2 linked regions of the Caenorhabditis elegans genome follow. The protein of the gene in region 1 interacts with the protein of each later gene in a pairwise test. Each region holds a gene or a part of one and is shown on either strand. Other genes may lie near its edges.

Region 1 (7,219 bases):
CGGTAAACTAAAAACCTTTCGTTGTCAATAGTATAATCAATTTAAAAAGAGACACAGTGAATATTAAGCTTGAGATAAATATAATAAAATGGTCGTGACACTGTATGTTACTTACAAAAATAACCCCACCACATTGAGCGTTTGACGGGTACACTTGTTCACAATATCTTCCTGATAAACCTTCGGGACATGCGCACATGGAGCAGTTATTGGGGTGGGTGTATCCGTTACGAAGGCATGGAAGGTCTGCGCACGACTCTGTGCATCCATATGCCATGTTAATCTAGAAAGTTTAAAATTTCGGAGCTTTTTTCCATTATTTATAGTGGCTTAAACCAATACACTGCAATTTTTGCAGAACATATCGAAATTTGTTCAACACGGAAAATTTGCGGATTAGGCCGAGTTTGAGTTATTTTCGGCAAATTTTAAATTCTTTCGCACACATAATTTGCGAGCTATATCATTTTCAATCATTAAAAGCTGCTTAACATACTGCTTGGTAATCTAAAAACGATGGGCCAGCTCTTTGACCAATTGTCGACTGCTGAACTCTTTCAAGTGTCCGAATAGTTGGAGTATATGGATCAGACGCAAACCCGTACGGACCATAATGCATGACGCTTCCTGCAAACCGAACAGGCGTGAATGAGAAAATGTATCATTAGTACTAACCGGTGTCATATGGTAGGTTATAAGTTTCCGCGTGATTTTCTCCAACAGCTTGGAAATTATTCCATCTGGAGAGTGGAATATTGTTGTAGTTGATAGCGATATGTCGTTCCTGTAAAATTCGACAACTTCTAATATTAAATTAAAAAGTATTTAGATTCAGTTAACCAACCTGGTCCGGTCGAGCTTGTTCGTGGAAAATACCTAATGCGTGTCCTATTTCGTGACTTATAATCCCAACAACATCACATCCTGGAGTTGAAATAGAAATTCCCTTGAAACTTTTTTTTTTGTTGAAACTTGATTAATATTCAAATTAATACCTGTGTTCCACCAACTCTTCCAACAAAGGAAGAACATCCTCCTCCATCGAAAAACTCTAGTCTATCCACATTTGGACCTCCTTCTTCAAATCGGAGGCATGTATGTTGCTGCCATAGGAGCATTGCACTTCTGAATTTAGAGATTCTTTCACTTAAAGGTGGAGCAGCACCAGTGTGGAAAGTGTCAAAACCTATTCCATCAAATCTACATTTTTCATACTTAAATTTTGTTTTAACTATTCGTATTGAAACATTGTAGGGGTCGGAACATGCGACATTGCTTTGGATTTCCTCAAAGTTGCATACTTTTCAATTTGGCAATTTGCCAAAACTTCGACCGGAAATTATGAAAAATTAAAAAAAATTTAGAGTGTTTTATCATGATATTAGATCGTTTCGGATCATTATAAAAGTATTTAGACAAAATCCCCATTGGCGCTACTCCACCTTTACAAAAATACAACAATTGTAATTTTTGAAACTTCAATTAACAAATAAGTTCTAAGTCTTTCACACACCTGATTTTTTGTCTTGTTTGGAACGGTATACTTTCGGCATAATCAAAACTAATAGGCCCTCTTGTATCCCACTTTTTATACAATGGATTTCTTCCAATCTAAAAATTATTGGGTGACACGCTGTTCAAAAATCCATATTTTCACCTTTCTTTTTTCTCTTTTGCCCTGTGTAAACTGATCTTCAATAATTTTCACTTGTTGTTCAGACAAGTCAACATCTCCTTGGAAATACTCGTCAGCGTTATTCACTGCCAATTCATCCTGTAGATAAAAGCATGAAGAAAAACTGGTCTTGATATGTGTCAAGGTGGTGTAGCTTGCATTATGGGAATGTTTTTTTTTAATAAAAATGTATTAAAAATGTAATGTGTATTGATTTTTTTAAAATATTAAAGAAATCGCACTCAAAACATTGAAAATACTACGAAAACACAATAAGTTGAAACATCCATATCTATGATTCCATATCTATGATTGACTGAAATTAGCTTTCAATATACTTCTAGTTAATTAAACTCTCAATGGATAATTCGATCAAAAAACGAGGTTTTATTGCAATTTCAAGCTTGAAATGTCTATTCAAAAGCCGGTTCATAAACTTTTAAATTATTTAGTTTTGAGTAAAAAGACCAACGTGATGTACTCCTGTATTTGGATTTCGTTGTATATCATCAAAGACAGTAACTGAATCGCTTTGAATTAATGTATTGTGTCTAAAAATCACTTTTTTTCTAGAAATCTTTCACACTTGGCTGAAATGTCACCTACCTTTCAGCTTCATCATTCAGCAGCTGCTTCACCCTGGCAAGATGTTTTTTCGAAGCTTTCGGAACTCGCGCAGCTGATGAAAAAATAAGAAGACAACAAAAACATGAGGCAATAATAATGTGACGATTGTAAGAAGGACTAGGCATTGGGTAGAGAAAGGCGCAGATTTGCCTTCTGCCGCCGATCGTCCACTGTAGTTGTGTGATTGGCTTTTCGTTTTCACTCCTCTGTCTCCGAATCTTTTCTCACCCCTTCAAGCTTCTTCTTTTTCTTCTTTTTCTTCGCTTAACGTGACTCATCTTAGACACATCTTCCGTCGGTTCAGCTGTAAAACTCGCGGGTTTTTCGTTAGTGACTTGGCATACAGGTTTGCTTCAAGGTTTTTCTCGGTTTCACCTTGCAGTAACTAGCTAACTATTGTTCCAACAATGGTGATTCAGATGTTAGGGTCAGGTTCCTTTATGTTTTATTGAACGTAACTGTGGCTATGACGTGATCAATAAAATTAGGTCAATAATAAGAATAAGAAATTAATAATAAAAAGAACGCAAATTTTTTCAAAAGTTACGTATGCACCCAGTATAAAAAAACCCATAAAAGTGTACCTGCAAAAAAATGATTTCCAATATGCTTTCCATTCGTTTTTTTCAATGACAAATTAATAAAACGTGAAATTTATTTGCACATTTAGGTTTACTATTAGGAAAAAGTAAATTCTGAGCCTGATAGGGACAAAAAAAGTTATGAAAACTTTTCAAAATGGTTAACATTTTTGAACAGGTATACTTCACAAATACCATAACTAGAGATATCAGGAACAATTTTCAATTTTCTGAAACACCCCAATCGTTTTTTTTTAACTTTCCGCGACAATTTTTTCTTAAAATTGACCAAACCCTAAAATAAAGTTTTGCAGATTTAGCAAACCACTTCACACTTTTTCTTCCAGTAGGCAGTCAGGCACGAGGCAGGCACGATGTTCCCAATCAGGCTACTTCGGAACAGTTCTATTTCTCTGCACATTTCAGATACACTTACTTACCCCCTTGTGTCCGAGTCCTCATCAAAAACAGCTGTCTCCATTATGACGACCCACTTGAGAGCAATACATATGTACCCCTTACATTTGAATGCTTACCATTTGTCTGAACATAAGATAACAAAATACTTAGCTTTCTTCAGTATTACGTAATTGGTGATATTTTATAAATTCAAAATGTCACGTGAACGTGCTAACGCTCGAGAACGATGCCGGCAAAAATCGTAAGTGCTCCAAACTTTTCAATATTATATTTGGGCTTTCTTTTTGCAAATTTTGTTTGTTTATTATAAGTTAAGTTTGAATATAAATTCAACTGTAAGTTTTATTTTCATAATTAACTATGAAACGTTCTAGATTTTATGAAACAACAATACTCTTTTCTGCATGCGTAAAAAAATCATTCTAAAATTAATCCGTTTATAATATTTTAAACTTGACTCCATTACGTTCCTCAGATAATTTTCAAGTTGTAGTTCAAAAATTGGAAAATATTTCCTCTGTTAGTCTTGCAGCCTCTATTAGTCTTTCACCCCTACGGGCTAATCGAAAATTAGTCTTGCAGCCTCTATTAGTATTGCAGTCTCTAATAGTTTTGCACCCGACTTTTTTCCTGTCCAGCAATATCTTGCATAGAGGCTGCAGCGTTAATGAATTGGCCCATTTTTTGGAAAAATTGAACTCGAGTTTTTGATCAAAAGCGTTCAAATAATTGATGAAATATTGGAAAAGGATGTATTTTTTGTTATTTAAACGATATCAAGTTGAGTTTTTCATGGTCACATTTCGGAGTTTTGAAGCATTCGAAAATCAGTCTTGGAGCCTCTAATAGTCTTGCACTCTCTATTAGTCTTGCATGCCTACGGAACAATTGAAAATTAGTCTTGCATGCAAGACTAATAGAGGAAATACGGTAATTAAATTGATCCTTTTCAAACTTTTCGGAACCTGCAAAATTTTTAGCTTATTTGTATTTTATTTATGTAGCGAACAAATTTAAAACAGAATATTATCTTTGTAAAATTTAGAATCGGCAACGCATTCAACATGTTGCGCAACCATCTTCCGAAGCAATTACGAGATCGAAAACCGTCGAAAGCGGAGACCTTAAAGTCAGCTGCGCAATATATATCTCATCTATTGAGGATTTTGGAGAAAGAAATAGAAAACTCTTCGAATAATTTAAAAGATGAACATCAAAAAGGTGATTTAGAAATATTATCAGAAAAAGTGTTTCTATCAATTGATCTTAAAATTTAATAACTTTTTTTTCAGACCCTAGTTTGACCACGCCTTCACATCTGAATTCGAAAATTGAAGTATGCTATGCACACCAAAATGGAGAATGGGTCCCGCCAGAATGTCATTTTGTTGTGAACTATGATTGAATATTTATTTTTATTAATTGTGTATTGTTTTACCCACTCATTTTTATGCAATTTTTACACTAATCAAACTTTATCAAAAAAACCAATTTTCTATTAATAAATGTGAATGAATAGGTATTGCCATTCTCCCCGCTCATAACTCAAACACTAAAAATGTTTCAAAAAATGTTCACCTATCAAACAATCGCACATAATCATGCTTATTAGTTTCACATGTTTGAACTATCTACAGAACCAATAAAGCAGCCGACACCTCGTGAGAACCTATTTTATGTTAAAATCAAAACGACTGTAACTCCACAATTTTGGTTTGTAACATTGTTCTATCTTAATCTGAAAACAATGCAAAAGAGCGACGAAGCTTTTTCTCAAAGAGCATTAAAAGTTTTCCTTTTAACAAAAAATATAACGGTTTGTCAATAAAACATTCATTTTGATCAGTTTATTTGCATCATTCAACATTCTTTTGCCTTTTTATCAATTTCTACGTTTTTGCCATTTTTAAATGAGCAACAGGAAAACTTCAAACCCGCCAATCATCAGAGGTTTTTCTCAAATCTCTTGTCGCCTATTTCGAGAAGGATTTCCAGTTTTTTTTAATACAGCAAACCATTGTTATCAGTTTGATTGATTTGATTTATTTTCAACATTAAGAGCCAAAAGGTAATACATTATCAGTTGCTGCACGCAAGCAAGCATGCCGCAACTTTCTCTTCCTTTTTGATAACATTGATTTTTTAAAATAATTTTTAGAATGAGCTATACAAACCCTCCAATTCTCCCAACTTTCCGCGGGTTTTCTCAAGACTCTCGACGTCCTTTTCGCGGAGGGTCTCGTGGAAGAGGAGCAGGATTCAGAGGAGTGTATCACCCTTCAGTTATCCCGCAGGTTCCTTTGTTACAAGCCACTTTGGCTAATCAGGATGACACACAAAATGTTTTGATACAGTAAGTGTTTGAATGTGGCCAGATTTCCCACACTTACGATTTTTAGAACGAACTACCCGAATCAGCCAAATCCGTCGAAATAGGGTCACCTCAAAGCTTTCGTCGCCCATTTCGAGGAGGGTTTTCTGGACGAGGAGCGGGGTTGAGAGGTGGTTATATCCCAACTGCTGTTCAGCAGTTTCATCCAGAAATCGTTCTACAAAACCAGGATAATCAGCAAGAGGCATTGATTCAGTAAGTTTTATCACTGATTGTTTTATACTCACGTTCTTAAAAAAGGAGTATCCTAAATGGGGAAATTGTCTTAAAATGTAATAATCGTGCTCAAACTTACGAAAATAACAAAAGAATAACGGGAAAAATTAATTTCAAATTTGCGCGTGAATGAATCTTAGGCCACCACGCGATTCCTAGAAAAAATTCGTTCAACAAAACATTGATATCAATTTCATTTTTCCAACTTTAATTAGTTTTTCTCTCTCAAAAAGTTTAAGAAAACTGAGAAGAAGGAATTTTATAAAATACTTATTCAAAATACAATACAGAACAGGTTAAATATTTGAAAATCCTCATGGCCTAGGATTTCTTTAGTTAAATTTTAAAGATTTTTTGCCGATTTTTCTGTCTCAAAATGCTCAATGTTAACGGATTTTTCCCGTTTTCTTTTGTTATATTCATAAGTTTGAGCACAAATGTTACATTTTAAAACAATTCCCCCATTCAGAATACTCCTTCTTTAATGCTTGGTCAGTCAACGTTTGGTAACTTTGATGGTACTCAAAAACCATTGTAGTTTCCGAAACACGGTTTTTGAATAAGATTTCAATTGATCTGTTCATAGTTGCAAGTTGAGTTTAGGACTGTTTTTTTTGGCAGCCTCGCCAGCCCCACTGCAGTCATTTTTTTCAGAAAACTCAACGAGGCTAATTCTCTAAATGAGAAGCATAAACTGGCAATCACCCAGTTACATAGAAAAATTGCACAGATGAAACTGGAAAAACAACAGTTGGAATCTCAGGTGCCAGCGAACAACCCACCGGACACCTCAAATGCAGTTTTGGGCCAGGATGGCGGTGTTGGACTTAGTCTGTCTGAAATTAATACGATGCTAGAAAATGTGAGGTAAGTTCTTTGATGTTTTGGACTTTTCACATGATATTGAACAGAGTCAGATTAACCGAAGAAGTCAATGAACATATCGTGGCGATTTCAAATCTATCCCACGAGAATGAACAATTGAGACACGAAAATTCAACTCTCAAAATGCTATACGACGAGAACATCATAGAGGTTGACACATTGGCAATGATAAGTGCTGCCTTATCATTAACTGATCATAACACCAACCAACAACCGACAGAAGAAATAGCATTGGAAAGTGAGCTGCAAGATACCGACTGTGTCATTTGTCATGAAGAAATGCGTCTTAAAAATGCAATACATGTCGCAGAAGGTTTCATAAAAGTGTAAGTTTGAAGATGTTTTGATAGCTTTGATTATTCTACTTTTCAGTGTGTCGACAGATGGGTTAGCCAAAAGTTCACATGCCCAACATGTCGCTCC
Region 2 (7,257 bases), on another chromosome or scaffold:
TGCCTTATCTAGATAAAATACCCTATTTGATCTGTCAATGATCAGATAAATCTTCTAAAATGATTGAAATCTGATTGAGACCTATCTTTACTTGCATCCCTTTTTCAACATTCTCAAATAAGTATCACCATTTAGTTAATCATATTTGTAGAACAAATTCGTCATTATTACCGTATTTCTAACTTTTTCTAACCAAACCATTGAGCACTTGAATTTGATGACAGCTGCACTCCGTCCCACAATAGACACCTCCCCAAATACTCTCGAGAAAAAAGTTCCAGTACCGTATACTTTTGACAACATCTGTCAAAAAATGCACTTTAGAGACGGGCATTGGAAGTATCATTTCTTTTTATAATTGTTGGTTTATTACCACAGAGAGACAATTTTAGGATATGGCTCAAGATATTTGAAGACTCGAGTAGTCCCACAGTATTGTGATTGCTGAAACTTCTGTTGTGAATATGAGTAACTTTATTCTAATAAAATATACCCCTTTCCTGTGCACACTCTTTCTCTCACTCTTACCATATTCTGAAGAATTAAAATTTCAGAGATCCCTACAAAACTCTAATAACATGCTTCAAAAATGAATGTACTCCCTACAGTCGGGTGGCGACATTTTCCCCCAAGAGAGCTGACCTCTTCTATTCATTCAATCCCCTTATTCATTCAATCCTTCCCCCATTTTCCTCTCATTTCACCCAAAAAAGACTGGTGAATGAATGGTGGGAGAAGAGATGGAGGACCCCGGGATAATAGAGGATTGTGTGCTGCAGGAGGTAGAGAGAGATGGTTGTGGGCGTGACCTCTCCCGATCATCGTCTCTGCGTCTCTTGGATGTAGACGGTCCCCGGGAGAAAGAATGTCTGCGTCTATGTACACCAATATACTGTTTATGTCCCTTGAATGGGCTTTTATACGCGTCCCTCCACTACCACCACCCTCGAAGAACCATTCCTAGCCACCCGCATAGCCGCTAAGAAGGGGGGAGTGCACTCTTTTCGTCTTTTTTTGTGTCTAAATCTGTTCCGTTTACTAGCTTTTCAAGTTCATGATCTTACTGTAATAAAACATAGCACATATTTTGAATGAAATACATAATGTATCCCATCTTCTGATTTTGAAAATTAAAATTTCTCTCCTCCCAATTTTCAATTTTGGATCTTTTACCAAATAATTTTGATCTGCATTACTTTTTCTCACTCCTACAATGTTTACGAATCCTTACCAATTTTGAATTTAAACAAGAACGCAAATGTATTGTAGGGCAGTTTTTTTTTCAATTATTGAGTTTATCAAAAAATGTATATTTGCATCCGAAATGTTACTAGCTCACGTTTAAAGCTTTCATATATATCTTATCCTACGTCTGAATTTAAACTAATTATTTAGATGGGCCTGAAACCCTTTGATCCATCACCCCTTTACTGTTATTTTATTGCTCTTTCGGGATGTCATCCATCCGATAATCATCTACAATGACATCTACATTTACAACTATTTCTTGATACCATCTCAACATCATTACCTCCCTACAAATTGTTCTCCTTCAAGTAACTTGCTCCTAATAATTTATACCGGAACTTAGTAGATCTATTGTGACGTCACAATTATTATTCTTTATTGATCTACCTTGCCTCTTTTGATCTCGTTTGCCTATTTAACCAAACGAGGAGAATCGATTATTTTCTTCTTTTTCTTATTCTCAATATTTCTTCAAATGGGGTTGTCTTGACGAAAATCTAATCAGAATATATTTACTAACCTAATTTTTTCACCTGCTGCTCCAGCCCAATTCCCTACTTATTCCCTTTCCTCTCCCCGCTTCTCCGCTGACTTTATTTCTTTGACATTACTACTATAATCGTCTTTCATATCATTTCGCAGAAATAAAGTTTTCAGAACCTCAATGGCGGATCCAAATAGCCAACTTACGTCAGCCACAACTGTTGCAACTGCCGCCATTGCTCAACCACAGGTTATGCTTCCAAATGCATATGATTATCCTTATAATATTGATCCGACAACGATTCAGATGCCTGATTATTGGAGTGGTTAGTCTTTTTTTCATTTGAAATCTATTATAATTTCAATTATATCATTTGGTAAACCAAACCAAACATGTTTTCGTGAATTTGTTAAAAGTCGCTTGTAATCAGTTAGAAATATTGGATAAATTGCAGAAAAAGGATATAAGTTTGGTATTACTTATCTCGAATTGTTGAATTGTTGATTTTATAAGCTCGCAAATTTTTAAAATTTACTTTAAGTTGAAACAAAATGTATAACTCTTTTAATGTTCTAAAATTTTGTAAAAATCTGGTTTGCTCTAGTAAGTAGTTTATTAACCAAAATGTTTATATCTCATTTCTCAAGTGCAAGTCATCTAAATAAACATTTTCAGGATACCATCTCAACCCGTATCCTCCGATGCAAACAACGGATATTGATTATTCATCAGCCTTCCTTCCAACACATCCACCAACTGAAACCCCTGCTTCCGTAGCTGCTCCAACTTCTGCAACATCTGATATTAAGCCAATTCATGCAACATCATCCACTTCAACGACGGCTCCATCTACTGCTCCAGCTCCAACTTCAACTACTGATGTGCTTGAGTTAAAGCCAACAACAGCTCCAGCCACGAATTCTGCAGAAACATCAGCGATTGTTGCTCCACAGCCTCTTACTAATCTTACCGCACCAATTGACGCAATGTCATCAATGTATACATGGCCACAAACATATCCAGGTTACCTTCCACCTTCAGAAGATAACAAAGCAAGTGAAGCTGTTAATCCATACATCTCAATCCCTCCAACATATACATTTGGTGCTGATCCATCAGTTGCCGACTTCTCATCGTATCAGCAGCAACTTGCTGGACAGCCGGTACGTTTCTATTCTTCTTGGTTTTATTCGTGTTTTACTGTTTTACCACAAGTTAATCTCGACGAATGATTGCTTGGCCCTCCTCAGCCGCCAAGCATTCACGTATGCATAATCCGCTTCCTTTTGATGTGAGCCGCCGCCTTCTGAAGATTGAGATGCATGCAAAAGGCGGCATCTTCTTGAGAAGAACACCCTGTGCGCACTAAACGACCTCCAAAAAAGTCACTAATGTAAACATAAAACAAGGAGAAACATACAGAAAAGATGGATTAGTTACATAATTAGGCAAAGTTTATCGCTTTTTTTGTTGGAGGAAATTTTTGAGATTCTTTCAGTTTTCTTTAAAATAATTTTTGCCATATGACAATACTAAACATTAAGATTCTGAACTACTGTTGTCGTGAACAAAGTTTTGAGACCCTGATGACATTTTTTTGCGTTCCAGTCTTGAGAAATCTAGAATAATATGGTAAAATCCCTGTATCCAACCTCTGACTAGTGAATAACTAAATTGGCCAAAATTTGAAGCTCTTGCTTTTTGCATTGTTACCCAATAGCCGGTCACATTTTCTGATGGTGTCCTCGAAAACCGAAGGGGGCTATTGACCGACGTCGCCGCATGATTAAGTGGTGAACAGAGACGGTCACATTGCGGGGTTCAGTACATTAAAGAGATCGATTGATTTGACTCGGCCCCCAATAGTACCATTTGAGAGAATTAACTGACTAGCAAGGCAAATGAAATTAATTCTTTGTTTTGTTTCATTGAGAGAAAAAGTTGAGTAGTTTTAGATGAGGGTTATAGAAATTATAAAACCAAAAACAATGAAATATTGCAGAATGGTCTTGGTGGAGATACCAACTTGGTTGACTACAATCATCAATTCCCACCAGCCGGTATGAGCCCACACTTTGATCCAAATGGATATCCAGGAATGACCGGAATGCCACCAGGATCAAGTGCATCATCTGTTCGAAATGATAAGTCTGCATCAAGAGCAACGAGCCGTCGTCGGGTACAAGGCCCTCCATCTTCTGGAATTCCAACTCGCCATTCATCGTCTTCAAGGCTTTCTGATAATGAATCAATGAGTGATGACAAAGATACGGATAGGAGATCACAGAATAATGCTCGAGAAAGGTGAGGAGTTTTTTACTTTTAAGACGTTTTGAATTGAACATTGGAAATTGACAATTACATAGTAATTTAATCGAGATATCTCCAAATCTAATCTAATACAAAAAACTTACAGAGTACGAGTTCGTGACATCAATTCGGCATTCAAAGAGCTCGGACGAATGTGCACACAGCACAATCAGAATACAGAACGGAATCAAACAAAATTGGGAATTCTACACAATGCAGTATCTGTGATTACACAATTGGAAGAACAGGTTAGATAATTTTTCATATTTTAAAGAAACATTCAAATTGTGAACAAAATTAATTGGCAATTGTTCGACTGCTGTATTTTTGACTTTGAAGCACATAACATTGCGATGGAATTTATTCGAAAAATTTAAACAAAACACTGAACAAGTTGAAATTTATAATTTTACAGGTTCGTCAACGAAATATGAATCCAAAAGTGATGGCTGGAATGAAAAGGAAACCTGATGATGATAAAATGAAGATGCTTGATGACAATGCACCATCCGCGCAGTTTGGACATCCACGGTTTTAAATTTAAAAATTGACTTTTTAAGCATTTCAAACTATCATTCCCAATCTTCTCCCAATCATCCATACGGCTAAAACTCTCTAGCATATTGTTTTTTTGTTCAAACTATTCAAATGTTCCCCTTCATCTCCCTCCGGATTGGAGGTCCTGTGATTTCTCAACTTCAATCAGTTTTCAGTTTTAAAAATTTTAAACTTTATTACAAGATCATCACAATTTTCTGTATGTTTTTAATTTATTTTCTCCTCTAAATTTAAATCAATCAATAGCTAATTCTAATATTTCAAGTATTAAAATTAACTTTCATATTATTCATTCATTCAATCAACTTCTTCCAACTTGTCTTATTTTTTGTGTGTGTGTATGTGATAAACCATAGCTAATTAGTATCTACTTGAAATGAAATGGTCCACTCAAAAAAAAAGACACCGCCAACTAATTTCACACATGAATTACTCTATTGGGTAACTGTTTCAACACTTTAATTATCCAAGCTCCGATGAAGTGCTAATGTCCTTCGCAGTATGGATTCCACTTTATGTTGAAAGGGATTCCCATTTATAATTAGACATTTAGTTTGACTTTCTAAGTCGTTGAAACGAGATGTTTTTTTCATGGTCTGTCAAAACTGATGTATAGGAATATTGGATGTATAAAATGTCAACAACGGGAAAAAATGTGATACAAACATAATTCATTCACCTTGATCAAAACAAACAAAATTTTAAAATTCAGAACCCTTTTTGCATCACTCAAATTAACTGGAAAATGGCTTTTCGGACAAGTTCAATTGCATTTGGATGTTTAAGAATTGCCATGTGATCAGCTTGAAATACTTCGTGTACAGTAACCTTATAACCATTATTATTTCCAATCCAATTAGTGCACACTGTAGCTGATTTTTTGTTCACTGTCCCGTCTCCATCACCCATGAATTCAGTTGGTGGATAATCTGGAAAGTATCCGGGAGCCCATGAAAACTTTTCCGGTGTGGGGACTCCTGTTCCATAAATACAATGAACTGGAACTCCTGGAGAACTTAAATTTCCATTCAGACGGGCGGCCTGTTTGTATTGTTCCCATCCAACCATGTAATTAATGTCTTGAAAGAATTCTTTAATATTTCCAACAGTGTAGTTTTTGTCAGCAGTTGTCGCTAATATTTCATGTGGTTTCCATGCAACTGGACTTGGAAACAGAAAGGCCGAAGAGGAGAATGATCTGAAGAACCAAATAAGTTGAAGAAAAACATAATTTGGTAGTCTTAGCACCATAAGAGTAAATATTTCACTTTTAAGTTTCCAAACACCTCAAAGTGCTTACCTTTGCATTGCTCTCAAGCTACTCGGTGGTAGAATAACTCTATAATAATTCATATTATATCCAGATGCAAATAATCGAACAATTTGCATTGATCCAGCCCATGGAGCCGCCAAACTAACAAAACTCGATATGTATTTGTCTTTCCAAGCCTGGAAACAATAAGTGTTATTTCATCTAACACCTTTCAATTATCTCACCTGATCCACATAATTATTCAAGAAATACAAAGAAAGGGGATTACCCATACTGTGACCGACGAGTACGATCTTTTGATTGTCATTCCAGCGATATGTGGTTTCAATTAAGGACTTCAGTTGAATGAGATAATCGTTTAATTCATCTGAAATTGTTTAGAATTAAATACAAAGTTGGTTTGGTAATTCGGAGTGCAAAAAAACGGTTTTGCTGATCTTTGTGAGCAAGTTCGCAATTGGAAAGTTGGCGCAAACGGTACGCGGACTTTTAGCGCGGGTATAAACCAGAAAATGTCAATTTCTATGAGAAACAAATGAACCTATGTATTCTCTTAATTCTGAAGGCTCAACTCACTTGGGGATTTTCTCCAATCAAAAGGTGCTCCAATGACATTTTTTCCTCTTCGATAACCCCATGAAACCATCGAATCAACGATATCAAAGAAGTATCTTCCCTGTGATGCTTTACTCTTATCCAACCATTCAACACTTTCAGTTGCTCCAAATCCAGCAACTCTAATGTCAACTCCTGGCATGTTTTCAGACAATCCTGTGGTTGTGTTGAACACTAATCTGAAATGTTATTAAATTGATTTTCTTTGCTCTGGAAATAATGAAACTTACTGCATGTTATCAGCCCAACAATCAATAACCAAAGGTGTGAAAAGTTGTAGATTAAGCCAAAGATCAAAATAATCGGCTGTCTGCTTGGAGCAAACATAATGCACAACTGATGGTTTACCCGTTAGATTTGATTCCAGCTGGCTGCCTCCATCACCAGGCACTGAAAACTATACAATATATTTATTGCGATTTTTTAAATTCCAATTTGCTAAAAACGGACTAAAACTAATTTGGAATGTATGAAACTTTTTAGAACTCGTATTAGAAAGTACTAGATATCTTTTCAATTCTGATCAAATAAAACATCAGAACTGAGAACTTGAACAATTGTGGATGTAATTCAAAAATATAAAATTTAAAATTTAAAATAAAGAAATATAATTACAGTAGACCGACCGAACGACTTGAAAGATTTAAAGTTAAGAAATCAAATAAAACAAAAGCTCACCGAGAATCACCGGAAGTCCTTTCGCTTGTGATCTGCCAAACTTTCCAAACCATTTCGTGTCACTTTTTCCAATTAAAACCAAGAAAATACA

Evidence for each region. Proteins that work in one complex are often made in the same cells at the same time.
Region 2: the proteins of hlh-19 (region 1) and hlh-2 interact in a two-hybrid assay, tested with the Caenorhabditis elegans proteins (one study listed by BioGRID).

What each region holds. Positions count from the first base shown.
Region 1 is NC_003284.9:553,398-560,616, reverse strand, and holds hlh-19 (BHLH domain-containing protein), read left to right. Parts: upstream 1-3,321; 5' UTR 3,322-3,497; coding exon 3,498-3,544; intron 3,545-4,348; coding exon 4,349-4,524; intron 4,525-4,595; coding exon 4,596-4,708; 3' UTR 4,709-4,825; downstream 4,826-7,219. Other genes in the region: Zinc metalloproteinase nas-38, read right to left, coding at 116-283, 497-627, 676-784, 845-946, 996-1,125, 1,514-1,611, 1,658-1,774, 2,148-2,226 and 1 more; F57C12.6 (Cerebellar degeneration-related protein 2-like), read left to right, coding at 6,642-6,778, 6,823-7,122, 7,169-7,219.
Region 2 is NC_003279.8:7,188,563-7,195,819, reverse strand, and holds hlh-2 (Helix-loop-helix protein hlh-2), read left to right. Parts: upstream 1-1,899; 5' UTR 1,900-1,912; coding exon 1,913-2,057; intron 2,058-2,407; coding exon 2,408-2,895; intron 2,896-3,734; coding exon 3,735-4,036; intron 4,037-4,148; coding exon 4,149-4,290; intron 4,291-4,457; coding exon 4,458-4,580; 3' UTR 4,581-5,032; downstream 5,033-7,257. Other genes in the region: plag-15 (PhosphoLipase A2 Group), read right to left, coding at 5,330-5,798, 5,901-6,049, 6,098-6,240, 6,450-6,667, 6,719-6,878, 7,167-7,257. UniProt on the Caenorhabditis elegans protein: Transcription factor which binds the E box motif 5'-CA[TC][AG]TG-3'. Plays a key role in the anchor cell/ventral uterine precursor cell (AC/VU) decision; required for VU fate.